Lonchura striata: one gene and its partner. The protein of the gene in region 1 binds, or shares a complex with, the protein of each later gene. Links are inferred from orthologs where the notes say so. Each region holds a gene or a part of one and is shown on either strand. Other genes may lie near its edges.

Region 1 (9,967 bases):
CCTGGAGAGTGAAGTCAGTAGTTGTAGTGCTGGCTGAACCAGTGCTCCACCAGCTTCATTCTCACTGGTGTTTGACTACCATTTGCATTTTGTGCTTTGGCAATAATACTTCGTAGTCAACACTGCCAGTTTGTTTAATTGTTCTGGGGTTGTGACTCTTGTGACTCCTCACAAACGTGAACCCTTGTAAGTGGAACTTGGGCATAAATACACAGTAACTTCATCAGCCTTAATTTATAAAGAACAAGGGAGGAGGTGTAAAATGCATCCTGAAGACCCCCTTGCCTTTACAGGGATTGACTGATTAAGGGGGGCTTGGTAAACATTAGCATAAATCAGACATGTTCTAGAAATGTGTCATTTTCTGTCATCCAAAAAGTGGATATGATAGAAATACCAAGTGGCTTTGAAGCAGAAACAGGTTGATTATTGCAGATCAGGCTTGTACTCACTGGAACAAGGCTGAAAGAGGCTGTGGCTCATGACACTTCATTCCCCAGTAGCTGGGGTTTTTGGGAGCTTCTTGTATGGAGAATGAGAAAGCTTCTACTAGAGGAAGGGCAGAAAGCTCTACTTTATTTCTGGCTCTTGAGCTGGCTGATAACCCTTCAGTTCCTTGTTTGAGCATGGCCTAGGCAGTATCAGCTGCCAGCACTGCTCACCAAGCAGAGCAGTTTCAGGATTCCATACCCTCTTGTGAGGGAAGAGTAGGCTCCTCTTGCACGGTTGGGGGTGTAGGGAGGCAGAGATCTCTGAAGCTTGCTCTTGGGGGAAGAGGTTTATTGGAGAATTCAGGAATGCCCAAGCCTCGTGCTCTCAGGCGTAGCACGGGGCTGGGCTTAGGAGGACGGGGGAGGGGAGAGAGAAATGGAGGGTTTAGGAGAGGGGAAGCCCCAGGCAGGGAGGGAGTCCTAGAGGGGAAGAGAGGGCCAAGAGAGGGAGGAAGTCCAAGAGGCCGCATGGCCGCTCAGAGCCCCCTTATCAGGGGCTCCCAGGTGGGCTGGGACACGGCATGGGCCAATGGGGTTACAGACTCTGTTTTAGGGGCAGGTACAGAGGTGCGGGATGAACCACAATCTTTTGCAGGGTGGGATGGAACAGTCCATTTCACTCCAGGATTCATCCAAGGGTAGAAGTGACATCCGGCTAGCTAAAATAACAATCATATCTATCTATCCTCTGCAACACTCTTGCTTGTCCCTTATTTAAAGCTTGCATATCCAGGGCTCCTTTGAAGCTCTGGTGCCTGCCTCATCTGTGTTAGCGTGGTGAGGGAGAGAAAGAAAAATGTCCTGCTTGGGAGAGGGTTTTGCTTGCTTTAGCCATGTCTGACTTACATGCAAGACAAGGGCAAAAATGCGGGGCTGTGTTAATTTAAAAGCTGCAGAATAGAAGTTGTTGTGATAAAACTTTGTGAATGTTAAAACTGAAGCATGTGTTCACAATAAAAACTTGTTTCACCAGGACCCAGTACTACAACAGAGACTGAAACCATTGCAAAGTACGAAATAATGGATGGTGCACCAGTTAAAGGTAAATAACTGTGATTGTTTTAAAGTGGGAGCATTTAGTGTTAAAATCCTATTTAAAAATATGGGACACACTTCTCCTTAGGTTGCTGAAATGATGATGCATTTTCTATTTGGAGAAGACATTTTCATGGACTTAAGGCATTTCCATGGGATACCAGTAACTTTTACCCTTATTTACCATTGGAAATTGTATTACTGATGTTTTCATCAAACCTGACTCAATGGTGTAGACCAGCTCTAGGGAGTTAAAAATACTGATCCTTCTGGCTTTCCTGGCTACCATACTTGCACTGAGAAAGGGTTTTCACTTTTCATTTCATGCTTGCTTCTGTGCTTAGTGTTATGTTTCTGATTTTTGGTGGGTATTTTTATGTCTTGTGCTGTTTGGCTTAGTTTTTTTTTTAACCAAGGAACAGCACAGGCAGTGCTTGGGAAATTGCTTTTATTTTGCATGTCTTCTGAAACTGTATTAATTGTTCCAGTTGTAAGGATTTCTGTTTTTTGCAGGGGAGTCGATTCCTATAAGATTGTTCTTAGCGGGCTACGACCCAACTCCAACAATGAGGGATGTGAACAAAAAATTTTCAGTGAGGTACTTCTTAAATCTGGTGCTTGTGGATGAAGAAGACAGACGATACTTCAAACAGCAGGTATGGTCTATAACAATCCTGTTGCAGAATTATCTGGGCTGTTTCACATGCGGCTTTGAGCCACCTGTGCTTCATGTGTGGCACATGCATTTCTGCTGGCAGGCGTGCTGACAGCTCTGTAGATGATGTCACCTTGCAGCAAAGGAGCCAAGGAGGATGCTGGATGCTGTTCCAGCAAGGATAAGGGTGCTCAGTACCATAGAACTTGATTTGGGAATATCCAGAAAAAACACTGGATGGGTAAAATGAGTTACTGGTGCATTTGTTTGCTTCCTTAAATTCCTGCAGAGAAATCTCCCCTCCTGCACTAGCCTGGGTTCAAAACTGCTAAGCCTTAATTAAGGACTAAGGCATTTTACTAAAAATGTTCGATAGATGAGGTGATGCTGAGGAAAGGGATAGCCAAAAGGGTCACTGGAAGAAGCTTTGTGGATTAGATCAAAATCTTCCTACTACAAAGCAGACAAGACAGTGTAATTAAACATGGAAAACAAGAGGGAGCTGGAGCATACAGTGGCTATGGTAGGCTTTGGGTTTTGGGAAAAGGAGGAAGAAAAATTTCTTGAACTCATTAATAGTATTAAAATTGAGGGTGGTGTAGTTAAGGAAGGGGTGACTGCTCAAGATTGTTCAAGCAGTAACTAAGTATGTAAACTTAATGATGGTGTATTTCTGTTACTTTTATATGAACTGCACTGATAAGTGGTGGGGATGCATTTTTTGGTGGACTCTTGTGTTTTGTTACCTTTTTTTATTTTCCCAAAAGTTTTAGTTTATCATGAACTTAAGATACTTGATGCTGTTGCCTTATTGGCAACTATTGGTTTCAAGAGTGTTTTCTTCCTCAAATAGGAAATAATTTTGTGGAGAAAAGCTCCTGAGAAGCTGAGGAAACAACGGACAAACTTCCACCAACGATTTGAATCTCCAGAGTCACAAGCATCTGCTGAGCAGCCCGAAATGTGAACTGGTCTAAGGTGAAAACCTTTGCAGTGCTTCAGCAGGTTAAAGATGGCAGCAGCCTGTGGGAAAAGAAGGCCGGAATTCCCATTACAACTGTCTTCCTTCATCTTGCAGTGCTGCGTTTACCATGCTACTAAAGCGTTCTTCAGTTAAGCATTCAAGTATGTATATACATTTAAAATAAAGTGCTTTCTCAAACACTGGAACTTTCTTAAGCTACTATTTTATACTGCACATTTCCTTTTATTTGATAATGTTGTATGCACTTGGGTATGCAAAAGCTTAAATCTAGTTATTTCCATGCATGATAGGCTGGTGTATTTGATTTTTGCTGCTCACCTCTACAATATAGACTAAAGCATTTCCCGTCTCTCATGTTGTTCATTGCATGTTTGTTTCCAATGTTGCTTATTTGCTTTGTTTTGTTTTGAAACTGCATTAAGACACAATTGACTAAATCACACTAAAAATCAAGGTTTATGGTGCATTTTTCTAAAATCTCCTAATTACTACATTAGACAGGGTTTAACTGAAGCTGCATGTATGTGCACTATGATTGGAGCCTTCAGACCAGCGGTTCTAAGAGGCTCTGCATCTGTCAGTAACAAAGAATATTGGGAAGTATCTTTGCCCTCTCTCCCCCAGCTCCCGGTCAGACTTCTCAAAGTCTTTCACACGGGTTGCTCCTAACTTTTGGGGGCTTATTACCCAGTAATTAGTGACTGTAGGGTTGTCTTTGAGTTCACCCTCAGGTGTTGAGTGGATAAAGTATTTGAACATAGTTATCTTATTGATGAAGTAAATGCTGTTAACACTGATTGTTTTGCAAATATGTAAAACTGTGTTTCCTCCTGGCTTCATGATTCCGCTGTCTTCACAGTCAGTGTCTATCTGTCCTGACAGGAGAGGCAAAATGTCCCCAAAGGACATCCTTCTGGGCCTCTTAGAGCAAACAAGCTTCTTGTGGTCTTCTGCAAAGGTATTCAAAGCCAGGCAAGCCTTGAAACTTAGAAACTTGTCTGGCTCAGCAGATTGTTTGTCTTTATCATCATCTCATAGGCGTTTAGTGTTTGAAGAAGTAGCTTAAAGGAGTTAAGTGTGGGGTCTGTTGTCAGACGTGTGGCTTGGGCACAAATGGAAGCCTGCTGTGAGGAAGGCAACTTGCACTTGTAGTTCACTTGGCCTTTAAACCAAGGCTTCTTGGCTCCGGTGCAAGTGTCATTGGTAACCTTACTTTCTGAGTAAGTAAATAATCAAATTACATTTATGTAAGAACTGTTTTATTACTGCGGCACTTTGATAAAGCAAAGACTCTGTGTACTTTATGCTAGGATACTCCTAACGCAGATATCTTCGGCTGAGAGCAAATCCAACTCCCTCATGTAAGTGCCTGTTCAGAAACTTAAAAGAATAAAGTTTAAAAAAAAAAAAACCCAACCAAATATTTTCACGGTCACTTGCATGTTGTAAACCTGGGAACGATGATTTTGAAAAACTTGATTGTACTTGACCAGCCTCAGATTGTGCAACCATGTATAATGAGCGGGGGAAAACATCCTAAGCTGCTATTTGAATTATTAAACCAGCTGTATTCTCACTAAACCCGCCTGGTGTGTGTGTGAGGGGCGCTGCGCTCCCTCAGCGCGCGGGCGGGGGCGGCGGCGCGCACGCGCGGGGGCGGGGCGGGCGCGGGCCGATGACGCGCGGGGGGCGGGGCGGGCGCGGGCCGATGACGCGCGGGGGCGGGGCGGGCGCGGGCCGATGACGCGCGGGGGGCGGGGCGGGCGCGGGCCGATGACGCGCGGGGGGCGGGGCGGGCGCGGGCCGATGACGCGCGGGGGCGGGGCGGGCGCGGGCCGATGACGCGCGGGCCGCCCGCCGCCCTTGTCTGCGGATGAGTCGCTGCGCGTGGCCGCTGCTGCGGCGGCTCCCCGCGCGCGCGGCGCTCGCGCTCCGCCATGGCGGCGGCGCTCCCCGCGCGCGCCCCGCCGCGCCCGCGGCGTCGTCCTCATCGCCCTCATCGCCGGCCTCCTCCGGGGACGGCGGCGCCTCCCGCGCCCCCGACACCTCGCTCTTCGTGCCCGTGCCGCTGAAGCCCGGCCTCGGCGGCGCGGCCGAAGAAGACGTGGGCGCCGAGCTCACGCGGCCCCTCGACAAGGGTGAGTGCGGGCGGGACCGTGAGGGGACGGGGCGGGGGCCGTGAGGCCTCGCCCGCCGTCTGCCGCCAGCGCCGGAGGCGGGCTGGCGAGGCCGCGGCTGGAGCGCTGTGCCTGGCTCTGCGCCGCTCAGCTCTCTGGGGGCACGCTGCGAGCTCGAGCTGGTGCAGAGAACGGCAGCGGGGCTGGAGCGCAAATCCGATGGGGCTCGGCCAGGAGGAGAGGAGGGCTCAAGGAACACTTCGCCTTCTCCAGCTCCCTGCCCGGAGGCTGCAGCCAGATGGGGGTCGGGCTCTGCTCCCAAGGAACAGCAGCGGAACAAGAGGAAACGGCCTCAAGCTGTGCCAGGGGAGGTTCAGGTTGGACATTGGGAGGACTTTTCTCACAGGAAAAGTAATGAAACATTGGGACAGCCCGGTGAAGTGGCGGAGTCACCATCTCTGGAGGTGTCTAAAGACAGACTGCTTGTGGTACACGAGGTGCTGTTTGCTCGTAGGTCGGACTCGATGATCGGAGAGGTCTTTTCCAGCTTAATTGATTCTGTGATTCTGGGACCCTCCTGAGGGCTGAGGGAATTGTCCCCTGCTGCTCTCGGGTCCTTTCCTGGGCTCAGAAACTTTCCCCCTTAAGAGAAGGGTGTCCTTCCCCACAGCTTGTGTGACCTGAAGCTAATTGTGCCCGTGAAGGTGAAGTGGGATAAAGGCTCTCAGGTGAGAGGGCACCTGCATGTGGTGGGATTCATGGGGCTGTGCTGTGCAGGGCATGACCCGTGTGGGTGCTTCCAGCTCAGGATACTCTGGGATTGCCTGGGCCCGCAGGCGTGCCCTGTGTGAGGAAACGCTCTGCTGGCCGCTCTTCCGTTCGGTCGGGGTAAAGGTGCTTGGCTTGGGGCAGGTCCCACAGCCAAACTGCAATCTCTTGCATTCCAGAGCCATAACTGTATATGAACTTGAAAGACGTAGTTTCCTCAAATATTGATGTTACAGACCGAAAAGTTTGTCTGTGTGTGAATGTGCCTAGATCAAAAGTGGCTGAAGTGACAGGACCAGGGAGAATGGCTTCAAATGGACGGAGCGTAGGTTTAGATTGGGTTTTAGGAAAAACTTCTTCCCTCGGAGGGAGGTGAGGCCCTGGCACAGGGTGCCAGAGAAGCTGTGGCTGCACCATCCCTGGAAGTGTCCAAGGCCAGTTTGGATGGGGTTTGGAGCAGCCTGAGATAGTGGAAGGTGTCCCTGCCCATGGCAGGGGACTGGAGTGAGATGGTCTTTAAGGTCCCTTCCAACCCAGACAGTTCTATGATCTTAGGACTCCATGATCTTTAAAGATTTGGTAAATAACAGACAAGGTCTTGATTCTTTTGATATTTGCTGATCTGAAAGCATTAAGGGTGCAAATGGAAATCTTTCATATCTTCTCATAATCTAATGATGAGGTATTATTTATCTTAATTCCAGAGTATAGAAGCATGGGCAAATTATCTTAATAGTTCAGAACTATGGAGAAAAGAATATCTAACTTTAAAAGCTAAAAAAACCCACCTAATCAGGATGAAGAATCCTGAGGAGCTGTAATGCAAAAATCTGCATTGTCAAACTTGTCTTTTATATGAATAGTGCATTCCTGAGGTGCCAATAAAGATGAATGATGCCTTTTTACTTGTACATTGCCTGTTGTCTCATTTGTTAGAGGAGCAGTTATGTTGGATTTCTTCAAAACTACATGCTAAACTAAAATGCTCTGGGAAACTAAGTACAGATTCTGTTTGGTATTTGCTAAGTTGTTGAGAGAGAACAGATTGGCTAAAATTATGTGTGCTCGCACAGGTGAAAATGAACCACTTCAGTCAGCCTGATGTTCCTCCCTGTGAGACTGGCAGGAAATAGCAGCCAGGTGACCTGTGGGGTGTGGCATTCACATCTCTGTGCTTCTCCTGAGAGACAGAATTCTGTCTCTCTGTCCAGAGAAAGTGAATGCTGCAGTGGGATGCTCATCTGACTTGTTTGGCCTCTAGTGCTCTCTCAATAATATTGAAAACTATTTTAAAAAGACAATGACGTGTTTTAAAAGTATTGGTATTTTGAAACCCAATAATGTTAGAAAAGACTGGACGAGAACTTCTTTACATGTAGCCATTAAAAAAAAAATGAAATAAATAGTCTTCTCTGCTTCCCCCTTCAGGTTCTGACCACACACAGTATTATGCATCTGGTTTTTTATCTTTTTAAATGAAGATACTTTATCAGATTCTGCTGCCAAGTACTGAATTAAATTCAGTAAAGGAATATGTGTATTTATGATCTTTCTGGTTACAGTTTGTGAAGAAACTTTGTTAGTGAGCATACTTGCATTGTGAATAATCTTGTTAGCTTGCTCAAGTGAGAGTGATTATAGTTTTCACATTAGTCAAACACTGTTAGGAAGACTAAAGGTCTTTTTAGAAGCTTACTTTTGTAAACCCAGTTTTGTAAAAACTTCCTAACAGACCTGGAATTAATTCACTGCTTCTGTTTTCCACAACTTCATAGGAAGAGTACCCCTGTGAGTGCTGATGGATGCTTTCAATTTTGGTGTTTGTATCTTGTGATTCAGTTGTCCTTGAATGTCAGTTCTGTGGCTTCAGTTGTCTGACCGTGGGGCTGTGCTTTACCTGTGGGAGGTGCAGGTCAGGACAGACCAAGTATTGGCAGCAATTCACGTGGCAGGAGCAGGAGATGCCTGAACAGGGGCCTTGGTAGATGCACAGGTTGCTTGGACTGGGCAATGGGAGTCTAATAGTTGGGGAGGAATTGTAAAATAAAGTGCTTCAGCTGCCCCAGTGGTAACATTCAGCCTGACTGCAGTGGATTGTTGCCGTCAGAGATACAGGGTAATGACTCAAAGGCTTCCTGCAAACAGGGTTGAAACAGCTAAATGAATCTGATACATTGGAGACTAACTGGATGATTTCTGAACTTTACTGCAGTCTGGCTGTCTTTTTACAGAGAACCTTAGAAGTGCTGCTGAGAAATCAAAGTAATTGAGGAGTAAGAGCTAAAACACAATTCTAGAATGAGAGAATGGTAAACAAAGGGAAATCTCAAAGCAGGAGTGAAGGGTAAAAAGGGTGGTGATTGAGACAGGACCCAGATGTTCAGAGTGTGTATGTGCTCTTGGATAAGCTCAGGTGGGCTGCAATGCCAGCTTTGTTTTGTTTCAATTTACCTTATTGTTTAGACAAGTGTTTGTGCTTAGGAAGGATTGTGACCTTGGGCAGCTTGGTCCCAATGTCACGTTGCCTTGGATAGAAACATGTTCTGGCATTGACCTTTACTCTTGTAGTAAGGCCAATGGCTGTGAATTTAGCTGCGTGGCTGATGATGTGTTAGTTGCTGGAGCTTCCTTGGGAAGCTCTGAAGAGCGCTGAGGCCTGTACTTGCTTATACTGCACTGTTTTCCAGTCTGTCTTTGATTTCAAGGCCCTTAAACATGAGTGTGGATGCCTTCCTAGGAAATGTAATTCTGCTGGTGCCTTTGTGTTTTTGTTATCTTTGGGAACATTTCAGAACATGAATTAATCCATTAAAACACTCCTGTAGTGGTATGGGATGTGCATTTAAATTTGCCATATTCTTGTCAGCTGGTGATTTTCATTGTGCCAAGTGGGCTGTCTCTGATACAGCTTTTTAGAGAGGCAATCTTTCAATAATTTAAGGTTGATTTCATGGGAAGCTTTCCATGTCTTGTCAGACAGTTACAGAGTGAGCTGCAGAGAGCAGAGCTTGGCAGTGTTGTGTCCAGTGACTGGCACTGGGGGTGTGCTATATTTGTCACTCCTAACATTTTATAATGTTCACAGACTTCAGTTTTAATAATGTAAGCTCATGAATAGATGTTAATGAAATTTGCTTGATTTTGTGTGAATTTCTGATCAGCTGTAGATGGAAAGGGGAAACATCTTTTTGCACTGTCATTTAACTAACCTTTAATGAACTAAAATCAGTGTGTACTTGTGAAAATAGAATTTTGTTGCAACACTGAACTTGACTTCTAGGGGAGGGAAAGAGTTCAATAATAAGTTTATAACAGATTTATTCAAAGAAAGCTGAATAATTTGTGATATACTATGAACAAACTCTGTTTTTTTTCTTCCTTACTTTTATTTTACCTGGGAAAAGAGAAGATACTGTCTGGATTACCTGATATTCCTGAAGAGTCTGTCTTGGAGGCAGGGTGGAAGGAAGAACATATCTCAGGATGTTGATTAAAAGCTGTCACCAAGTAGCTCAAGCCAGATTTGCTTTTCATATTAAAACTTCCTGATAGGCGCTGATAGAAAGCAAACAAAACCCCACCCCAAAGCATTAATGAGTTTGTTCCATGACTTGTTAGCTGCATGTTCCCATCTTCATGGTTTCCTATCAAGTGGCAGGGGAGATGGCTGGCACCATCTTCATGGCAGTTCTTAGTCTGCTGCAGCTGAAGGTTGTCCTCCACAATAGCCCCAGGCTCACTCTTTGGTGTAGGGGGTGTTCATTTGTGTCTGTTCAGCATAGAAAGATTCTCTCTCTCCAGAGTAAGGAGACTATACACCAAGATCTTTGGGCCAGGAGAATGTGATTAAATTTTGAGGAAACGCAAAAAAATAGTTATCTTTTTCTACAGGTGAAGTCCTAAAAAACTTAAACAA
Region 2 (10,217 bases), on another chromosome or scaffold:
ATTCTGTACATTTTTACTATTTCTGTAGATCTGTCTCTTTGCTTCTGTCTCTTTAGTTCTGTGCCGGTCACTCGCCCATGCAAATTAAGAACTGACATGAAAACCAAACCGTTGTTTTCTATTACTCCCTCAATATTCAGGGTAACCTTGGAAGTTTCCAAGCGAGCCACGGAGGAGTTGCGTGGGCAGAAGCTGCGCCCTGCAGGCACCACCAGGAAACAGCCAGAACGAAGCCGGGACCGCGGCGGGCGCAGCACAGCCCGGGCTCAGCTCACCAGTGCCACCGTATGGCACAGGCTTATTTTCAATAAAGACACACCAAATCACACATTTTAAGGTTTTACTCTGCCCAGAGAGCGTCCTGGCAACAACGTGGGCACGGTATTCTCAATTTCTGTACTACAGAAAAGCCAGGGCATGGTGAAGACCCCCCGAGAAAAGGGGAGAATTAAAATGTGTTGTTTCACACTGCCTTGAACACTTGTTTTTCTGTGAATTGGCTGGGAAAAAAAAAAAAAAAAAGTAACTCTCACTGTGGTTGCTCATCCCTCTGATTTTCTGGTGAAGCCAGTGTTCCAGGCCCATCTACTAATTTCTTCCCTCTGTCCAATGCTAGGAGCAGCCCCCAGCACACACCTGACCTCCAGCTCAACACCCACTGCCAAAGTATATTAACCACTTCAAATAAAACATTTATTTCAAAAACATGCTGCAAATAAAAAACACTTGCAGAATCTCACATATTACAACAAACAGGTCTATGTATTTAACAAGTAAATATATACAAGCAGAACATCCACATGGTAGCTGACTTGGAACATTCCTGGTTCCTGGGGAGTTGGTGAAAGAGAAAGCAGCTCAATAAAGAGGTATCAAATTCAAAGGTAACACCTTTAAAAGGACTGAGTTTGTTAGAGGGAAGAGTTTTCCTTTCGTTAGATAGAAATACACATTAATACAATCTTGCAGCACATGTACATAATTATTTCAGCACAATCCAGACTGAGCAAGGGAATTCAAGTGGTTGTAATTGTCAAAGAACCCAAATCCACAGCTCCCAGAAAACAGAGTATGTGGTCAAGGACACTTAAAACTCCTGGAAAGAAGAACAATATAGAGGCTGTGTATCTGAGTAATATGGGGGGGTTCCAGTTAGACTATAAAACTGCTACCCACTACCCTGTAGAACTGCCCTTGCCAGCTCACAGAACAGGTTTGAGTCAAATCCCCAGCACAGCTACAAGGTCCCTGCAGCTGAATACAGAAATTCCCACTACAACCCCTCAGTTTCAGAGGCTGCTCCCACCCTTTGCATCTGCTGAGCGTGTTTTGACCTGCCAAAAGTTCCAATTGCCCTGGTCTAGGTTTTTCCTTCATGTGAAACCCCTAAAATCTGGCCTATGGAGACACATTACATCCCATACACCAGCAGGAAGGCTTCGTTTAACCCAGTTTATTGATTTATAAGATGCTTTAACTCTCAATTTAAGATAATAAATAGGACAAAAGAGAAGTCAAAAAAACATGAAGGAGTTGACTCTACAAGTTCAAGTAAGGAGCTCATATTTTCTTTAGTGTTATACTTCTGTGGTCTCCTACCACAAGGAGGAAAAAAAAAAAGCAACCACTTTCCTGAAGTCCTTCACTAAGTTTAGGCTGCACAGCAATAAAAATTAGGACTCAAATGGTTTCAAAGTTTGCTGCTGAAGCAAAAAAAAAAAGATGACACCTTATGTATCTATTACACTGTGGGCATGAAACACAGGCTTTATATACACATGCACTTTGACTACTGACACATCCAAATAAATCTTCTGGAAAATAAAAGTTTGCTCTGACAATTATTCAACCCTCTACCTTACTTGCTCCTTATAGAGTGCAAAAATAAAACATAAAATAACCCCAACACACCAGATCACTTTAGAAAACACAGCACTGATTTGGGAAAGGGAATTTGCATTTTCATCTCTTTCACATGTGTTCAAGCAGTCCCATAAGACAAATGGTTGTAGAAATCTCCAACTTGCTTGCTAGGGCAGCACAGCTTGGGATGAGCACAGGCTTCAGTTTACTCACCTACACCTTCTGCTTAAATCCACCTTCCATTCCCAGGGAATACTGCAATTTCACATCTGCTCAGGGAGCAGAGCAGCACAGAGCCCTCAGGAACTTGGGAGAGAAAGGAAGGAGGGGTGGTGCTGCTCTAAAATAGGATGAGACACAGACCAGACATTTTGATTGCAAAGTTCATCCACCTGAGTTTTCTGAAGAACACTGAGACACTGGAGTTATACCAGCTAAGGAAATCTAGTGGCATCTGAAAGCCATCACAAGAGATACAGCAGGAAATTAAATCAAAGTAGAGCTAAACAGAACAAGAATGAGGAAAGAAAGCCAAGTGAAAACAAGTCGCTTTAAAGTAATGCAATTTCAGTGGATTCTCCTAAGGCTTCTTTAGAAAGTTAGGATGAGAGATCTGTATCCTGCTAAAACATTTTTATCAGCTCCAAAGAACTTACTTGCTCAGGTGCAGCATCCAGGGTTTTCAGGAATATTTAATGATGCCATAATTGTTCTTCACAGTTTGCAATAAATCCAGAATAGGATGCCCCACCTGGGCATGGTGGAATGGCTGGAACACCACTAGGAATCTTTCCTGGAACAGCTGTAGATACAATTTCTTATCAGCATTGTCTTTGTTGGCAATGATGGAAAAAAGGAGGAAATAAATCACTGTCAGGCTGTTTGTTGGGTTTGTTTTTAATTTAAATTCTATATTGAGCTGCTTTTATAGGGCTAGGTCTGTACAATGGCTGTCTCTTTAAAAAAAAATCTAATAAATCAAATAATAAAAGTGTAGAGCTTTATGACAAAATATGTAAGGGGCTCAATTTAATCTTGTTTATGAGCCCAGGAAAAAATAGAGCCATGAGAAGCCATCCAGTGGAGGAGTGCATGGAAAATGCCTCTTCCTAGGGCAGTTGGTTGCATGTTTACTGTTCCTTAAAATAGCCACACATCATTTTTTAACAAGTGTCTGTAGCACTTGAAGCAAGAGATTTACTGAGCCGCAGGATGGGGATGGATAAAATTGGATAATCAGCTACAGATGGACCCTGACCAAATAAATAAATGGCTTAATAAATGGCAAAATAAAGAAGTGGCTTGAGACTATGTGGATCATAACTAATTCCCTCAAGGAACTTGTCAAACTTCAAAGCAGAAGAGCTCTCTGCTGCACCAGCACACCCAGTGAGCTGGACAGGAGGGGGCACAGACAAAGTGGCCAAAAGGGAGCTGCTTAAGCTGCTCCTAAATAAAACCCCTACTTTTATTAGCAATCAGTAGGGCCCATACAGCATAAAACCATGAAATAATGTCACAGGGTGGTATTAAACATGTTTCAGTGTGGCAGAGGCTGCTAGAAAAGGCTCAAAAATTATTGCTGCTCTCCAAAAAGCTTTAATCATGATCCGATTTTGTGCCTTGTCTGGGGGTTTTTGTTTGAATTTTCAACAGTGGAATTAAAAAAAAAAAACAAAAAAAAAACCAAAGAAAACCCCACAACAAAAAAAAACCCCAATAAACAAACAAAACAAAACAAACAAAAAACCAAAACCAAAACAAAAACAAAAAACAAACAGAGGTAATGAAGAGGGAAATGAAGTGCAAATCTTTCTTAATAGATGAACCATAGTTTTGGTTTCTTTCATGATGTTAAACATTCATTTTGTTTGCTGCCTAGTATCTTGAATGAAATCCAAGCTCTGGTATCTTTTTCCTATGACAGTGATATGGCCATAGTTTGTCAGTCCATGACAGTGATGAAATATTCCCTTACCATCTTGGTATGAGAATAGCAATCGTAATAATTACACAAAAAACATTCCAAATAATTGTCTGTTTGTCAGCAGCAAAGTGAATGTGAATTCAAGAGACTATGGGGGACATTTCTGCTTTGCCAGCTAATACATTCTTGTACCAAAAAAACTGTACCAATAAGTAGTAAATCTGGATAAAGTTAACAGTCCTTTTGCCCAGGCCAAATCCCAAGTTCAGATCATTTTACTTCTTTCTTTTGTGTCTTGCCAAAAAGATAAAAAACATGTTGGCACAAAAGAAAAATTATTGCTTGGACTATTCTCCCAGTCTTGAATCTGTTTCCAATAAAAGCAGCTTGGGCAGAAAACTCCAGTTAAGTAAACAAACATCAAAATAGCTTTAGAAATAAAATAGTAGTAAATTGTTAAGATTTTTAATAATTAGTTGCTAAATTTAAATTGTTAAATCCAGATTGCAGATGAGTTTAAGGTGATGCGTGACAGATACATGTGGGATTCAATGAATATAAACTATCTCATTTTTGATGCAATCAGATCTCCATAATCACATTATTGTTTGCTCACCTCATTGACGTAAGTAACACTAATTACTAATCTATTTTGCATTACACTGAGGAATAATTAATAAAGTAACAAAACCACTGTCCCGAGTGACATTCTGATGCACTCTGAGCATGTAAGAGCACATGAAGTTTGTGATAAGCAATATCTGTGTTCTATTCTTCTTGCACAGTACAGATTATTTTGGTATTCCTGGTTTAAAATTATGTTTTGGTTGGTTTTTGGTTGTTTATTTGGGGTTTTGGTGGTTTGTTTTTTGGTATTAGGGGTTATTTTGGGGGGTTTTTTTGTGTGTGGTTGGTTGGTTGGTTGGTTGGTTGGTTTTGGTTTTTATGGGGTTTTTTGGGTTTTTTTTTGTTGTTTTTTTTTTTTTTTTTTGTCGTTGTTGTTGGTCGGGGTTTTTTTGGTGGTATTTTTTTTCTTCGTTTTTTGGGTTCTGTTGTTGGGGTTTTGGTTTTTTTTTTTTTTTTAATTTTGGTGGCTGTGTTACAGAACAAGGTCTGCGGAATAAATTAATTGCAAAGGCCCATATTTTTCTCTTCCTGAACTGAAGGTGGCTTTCGGGCCTGTCCCCAAACAGGGTCGGGGCCAGCCCGGCAGGCGCCACCCGGCCTCCTGAGGCGCCAGGGCGGGAAGAGACGGCAGCCCGGTGCCCCTGTCCTCTTCCTCGCTCCAAGCCCCTGTTCGAGCGGGTTCTCCTCAGATTCCAGACCGAGGTGGCTCCAAGGCCGCCACAAGCGGCGCCACGGACCTTTATCTGCCGCCTTTTACCCCAGAATTCGAGAGTGGCGGAGCAGCCGCATTCGCGCGCTCTGCGCTGCCTGACCCTCCTCAGCCGCTATAGCGCCCGTACGGAACCGAAACCGGCGCGGCGACGCCTCAGCCAATCCGCTCCGCTCTTACTGCGCGGCGCCGCTCCCCCGAGCCAATCGCGCGGCCGCCCTTTCCTGCCTGGGGCGCTATGGCGGCCGCCAGGAGCTGCGGCCGCGCCGCGCTGGGCGCGCTGTCCCGGGATGGCGGCGGGGCCGCGGCGCGGTGGCGGCGGGTCCTGCCCCCGGGCCGCCCCGTCCTGCCCTGGGTGCCAGCCCGCGGCGCCTCGGCGGGGCACAAGCCCGGGCGGGCCGTGACGGTGGAGGTGGGCGGCAGGTGAGCGGCTCTGAGGGGTGTGGGGGGGCGGCAGGGCAGAGCGCTGTCCAGGCTGGAGGGTAAGGCAAACGCGAGGAAAAACTGGTGTAAAGTGCGTTGAGGCACGTGTTGAGGTTATTCTCAATCAGGACGTTCTTTGATATCGGATCTTGGTGTGCTGGCAAGCCTAATCAGCAAGAAGGGAGCCCGGAGCAGTGGAATCAGCCTTGTCGTCGCTGAGTCAGGGACATCAGGCTCTGAGGAGCCCTACGGATGTAATAAATCAAGTTGCTGATGGATGTCTATGTGTACATTGCCAACTTAGCAAAATATTCCAGGCCACCAAGTTGATCAGAGGGATGGAGACCTATCGGGTGAGGAAAGACTCAGAGAATGGGGATTGTTCCGCCTGGAGAAAAAAAGCTTTGGGGTGACCTAATTATGGCCTTCCAGGACCTGAAGGGAGCTGCCTAGAAAGATGAAGAGACTATTTGTGAGGGTGTGCAGTGACAGGACAAGGGAGAACGGGTTAAAAATGAAAGGTAGTAAGTTTAGATGAGACATTAGGGGAAAAATCTTCCCTGTGAGGTCCCTCTGAGCTCTCCTGCCTGGAGAAGCTGTGGCTGCCCCATCCCTGGATGTGTTTAAAGCCAGGTTGGATGGGGCTTGGAACAACCTGAGATGGTGGAGGTGTGGAACTCGGTGATCTTCAGGGTCCCTTCCCACCCAAAGTGTTCTGTGATTCTGTAGCTGAACTGTGTTCATTATAACAGTGAAAATCACACCTACAAGTCATAAGGGCCTTGCCCAGGTGTTCTCCTGAGCATGTGAACAAGTTACCTGGGATAACTTGTATAGAAACTACTAACTAATCATAATAGAGGGGCTGTGCTTGGGAAGGGACCAGCTCTGCATTTCTGTGTATAAATAAAAGTATGGAAAGTTAGGAGGGTGTGCGGGGCTTGTGCAATAGCACCCAGCACAGCCCTAGAATAAATAATCCATATCTCACTCTCGAGTGTGCCCTCATTGCCTTGTTGCCCTCCATCCTCTGCCACAAAGGAAGGAGTATTCTGCAGATGTGGTGGGATGTGTGCAAGCAGCTCCCCTTGCCCTTGAGGGTGTTTTCCAGTGGCTAAACCCCAGCTGGAACAGGTGATGATTCACCTTTGTGATAGAGATAGCTGATGTGCTCCAAGGCTTTGCTTCAAAGTAAAGGAAACAGGACACTTAAGTCTGAAGCAGGACACTTGAGACTAAAGCAGTTGAAATTTAAGTGGGTTTGTTCATTTTTGCTCGAAGAGTTTCAATTTTTATATCTATGAAGAATTTTTATATCTCTTGTGAAGCATAGCCTTTATTCTGTGCAGTTGAGGCTACAGGTGAATGCAGAAATTGCTGGGAAATGTAGATGGATTCACTATAAGCTTATGTAACAGATTGTTTCTTTCCTTTAGAAAGATGGAGCTGTCTTCTGGAAAACTTGCTAAGTTTGCTGATGGCTCTGCTGTTGTTCAGGTAAAAAAACAAAAAAAAAGTCAAGATTTGTCCAGCTTCAAAATTTCTGAAACTTGAAAGTCATTGTGTGGGCATCAGAGCCTGTGGGATATAGAGCCTCAAGTGGCAATTTCATCCCTAACAAAGGGACAGCTGTATTGTATAGGAAAAATTGTTTGAAAAGCAAAGACAGCAGTGTGAACTGTGGATTTATGCAGTGGTTTTCTGCAAGGTATAATTCTTAAGAATTACTGGTTTGTGAATTAAGTTTAGAACATTGGAAGTTATTTTCTTTTCTGGTAACTTCAGTTTTCACCTGTTTTTCTTAACACAGCTAGGTGACACAGCAGTGATGGTCACAGCAGTCAGCAAAACCAAGCCTTCTCCATCTCAGTTTATGCCATTAGTGGTAAGTACTAATGACAGAATTAGTTTTGTGCTAATCAGTGATCAATTTAGCAGTCATGGTCCTTAAACAGTGGAGTTCAGGATGCTGGGGAGAGTGAGGAATGCAAACAGTAGACGACAGACCCTGGACTTGAGATATGCAGTTGATGATAAAATCCAGGATCCTTGTGTGGGTGAGGGATGAGCCCTGGCTGTTGCCTGCCTTGGATTTAGTAAGGCTGTCTTCAAAGCCCTTGCGAACTTTGCCGTATCATCCAAGCTCTGGTATCTGGGTTTGGTTGTGTGGAAAGCTGGTTGGATTGTGAGGCTCAAAGGGCTGTGATTGTTAAGGGTGGGAAGTAGATAATTGGGGTTAGAACTGGATGATCCCAAGGGTCCCTTGTGGGGGTTTCTGTGGCTCTGCAGTAAATAATCAGTTGTCATTAATAATCCCTGAATTTTCTTTGGAAGGTTGACTACCGGCAGAAAGCTGCTGCAGCAGGAAGAATTCCTACAAACTATCTCAGAAGAGAGCTTGGTTCCACTGATAAAGAAATTCTTACAAGCAGAGTAATAGGTAGGCTGAAACCTTTTATTTACAATGTACTTCAAAAATGTTGTCATTTTCTTGTGCTTGTTTGAAAATACAGCCATTTATAATGTGTCAGAAACAAACATGTAATTTATTTATCAATGTGATTGAAATTTTAAGGTTACATGTGTCATGCTGAATACATTTTCTATAGTATTGTCTCTTTTTTTTTCCATTTTTGTCAGTTTCTTGTGGGGTCATTGCAGTACAAACTGATTATTAACTACTGAAACCAAATTCTTATGAACTTTTTATTAAAAGTTTGATTATTTTCTTTGCAGATCGGTCAATCAGACCACTCTTCCCTGCAGGCTACTTTTATGATACACAGGTAGGTCATGCTACCTTCAAAACAGAAAACTTGAATATGGCCAAGGAAAATTTCATTACCCAGGCCCTGTTTGAAGAAAAACTATTTTTATTGACATCAAGGAGGGGTTTGTACTTCACAAACAAGTGTAATGTTGCTTTTAATCTGTTTTATCTTCTTGTCTTACAATATTATTTCATCCTACTTTCCAAATTTTGTTGTCAATATGCAGGAGCAAAATTAAAATCTCTGTACAACAGGGGAAAGATGCTAACAGTAAATATTTTATTTGTGATGTGATACAATAGTATCCATTAATGGGGCTTTATTTTCAGCTTTCTATATTAAATACCTGAAAAAAATTTCCATGTGAAACATAGACTTGTGTAGATTCATGGGGTTTTTTAGTGTCCTTAGCTTTGTATTGACAGTTAATAAAAATGTATAGGTCAAAATTATTCATTGTCTTTTATCTTATGCCAGATCCTTTGTAATCTTTTAGCAGTAGATGGTGTCAATGATCCTGATATTCTGGCAATTAATGGAGGTAAGAAGGCTGTGAGAAATTGGTGCTTTGGTGGGACTTAATGAGATCAGTTTTTTTCTAATCCAGGTATTTATCTTCTTTTCAGCTTCTGCAGCGCTTGCCTTGTCTGATATCCCCTGGAATGGTCCTATTGGTAAGTAAACATTTTGAAATGATGTGTAATTTTAATGTAATGGAACACTTAGACCACAAGTGGTACTTTGTTTTTTAAAGCAGAAGCTGAATCTAAACATTAAATTTCAAGCCCTGGAAATAATTTTGCAATGGAGAGGATTATTGCACTTCAAGGGATTACTTTTTTCTTTACAAAATGCTCTTCTGAGAGGAAATACAATATAGAAATAATGTACTATAGAAACCAATAAATTAATTTTCTCTTAAGAGAAACATATTTATTGAAAAGCATAATTTGGAAAATAGCTGGTTCAGAATACTTTTCCTCAAGGAACTCAGAAAGAGATCTATTTTATTGTGAGTATTTTCTGGGAAGAGAAAAGATCTGCCCCAGAACAAATATTGAACAAGTATCTTCCTTTTAGCTGCCTGTTTTTTTCTAGAAAACATGTGCTGAAATGACAAATACTCCCATTACACTCACAGCATTGTGTGTAATACTGGCATTATTTGCCCTATCCAGTAATAGTACTCAAAAGTGCCCATTCTTAGAATGGGTAGTCTTGTCTTCTAGATTTGTTCTTAATATCTAGTCAACATGCTGATATTTTAAAATTAGTCTGTAGCTTTAAATATTGTTATTAGCTGTTTAACTTTCAAAGTAAAGTGATGCCTTAAAGAGCTTCCTTATTATAATAATAAATGACTTTCTGGAGTTTCTTTGCAGGTGCAGTGAGGGTGGGGCTGGTGGATGGAGAGACTGTTATCAATCCAACTCGGAAAGAGATGTCTTCTAGTGCTCTAAATTTAGTTGTTGCTGGAGCTCCACACAGTCAAGTTGGTAAGTAGGTTAATTGTTGTCTGTTGAGGGCTTGGAAATCTTTGCAGATGTTTACCTTATCTTTGAAATGTGGGTTTTTATACAATAGTGGGAGCAAACAACAGTGATAAGTAATTTTTGGTTAAGTAAATTTTCTCATATTTATGCAGTTTAATGTTAGATTGCTATTGAACAATAAAACAGGAATTCACTGAATTTTTATCTTTCCATTGCCAGTTATGTTGGAAGCAACTGCTGAGAACATCTTGCAGCAAGACTTCTGCCATGCCATCAAAGTGGGGGTGAAGCAGACCCAGCAGATCATCCAGGCCATTCAGCAGCTGGTGAAAGAGCAGGGTGTGGTCAAGAGAACTGTCCAGAAATTATTTATTGCTCCTGAAGAGATTGTGGAACTTGCAAAG

The links.
Region 2: SUPV3L1 (region 1) and PNPT1 share a complex: the UniProt entries of both Homo sapiens proteins name them as parts of the mitochondrial degradosome (mtEXO) complex. The link is inferred for Lonchura striata from reciprocal best matches to the Homo sapiens genes SUPV3L1 and PNPT1.

Annotation. Positions count from the first base shown.
Region 1 is NC_134609.1:34,900,280-34,910,246, reverse strand, and holds the start of SUPV3L1 (ATP-dependent RNA helicase SUPV3L1, mitochondrial), read left to right. Parts: upstream 1-5,113; 5' UTR 5,114-5,304; intron 5,305-9,942; 5' UTR 9,943-9,967. UniProt on the Homo sapiens protein: Major helicase player in mitochondrial RNA metabolism. Component of the mitochondrial degradosome (mtEXO) complex, that degrades 3' overhang double-stranded RNA with a 3'-to-5' directionality in an ATP-dependent manner.
Region 2 is NC_134605.1:27,017,290-27,027,506, forward strand, and holds the start of PNPT1 (polyribonucleotide nucleotidyltransferase 1, mitochondrial), read left to right. Parts: upstream 1-5,364; coding exon 5,365-5,549; intron 5,550-6,985; coding exon 6,986-7,046; intron 7,047-7,359; coding exon 7,360-7,434; intron 7,435-7,883; coding exon 7,884-7,989; intron 7,990-8,285; coding exon 8,286-8,335; intron 8,336-8,797; coding exon 8,798-8,861; intron 8,862-8,946; coding exon 8,947-8,994; intron 8,995-9,702; coding exon 9,703-9,816; intron 9,817-10,032; coding exon 10,033-10,217. UniProt on the Homo sapiens protein: RNA-binding protein implicated in numerous RNA metabolic processes. Catalyzes the phosphorolysis of single-stranded polyribonucleotides processively in the 3'-to-5' direction. Mitochondrial intermembrane factor with RNA-processing exoribonulease activity.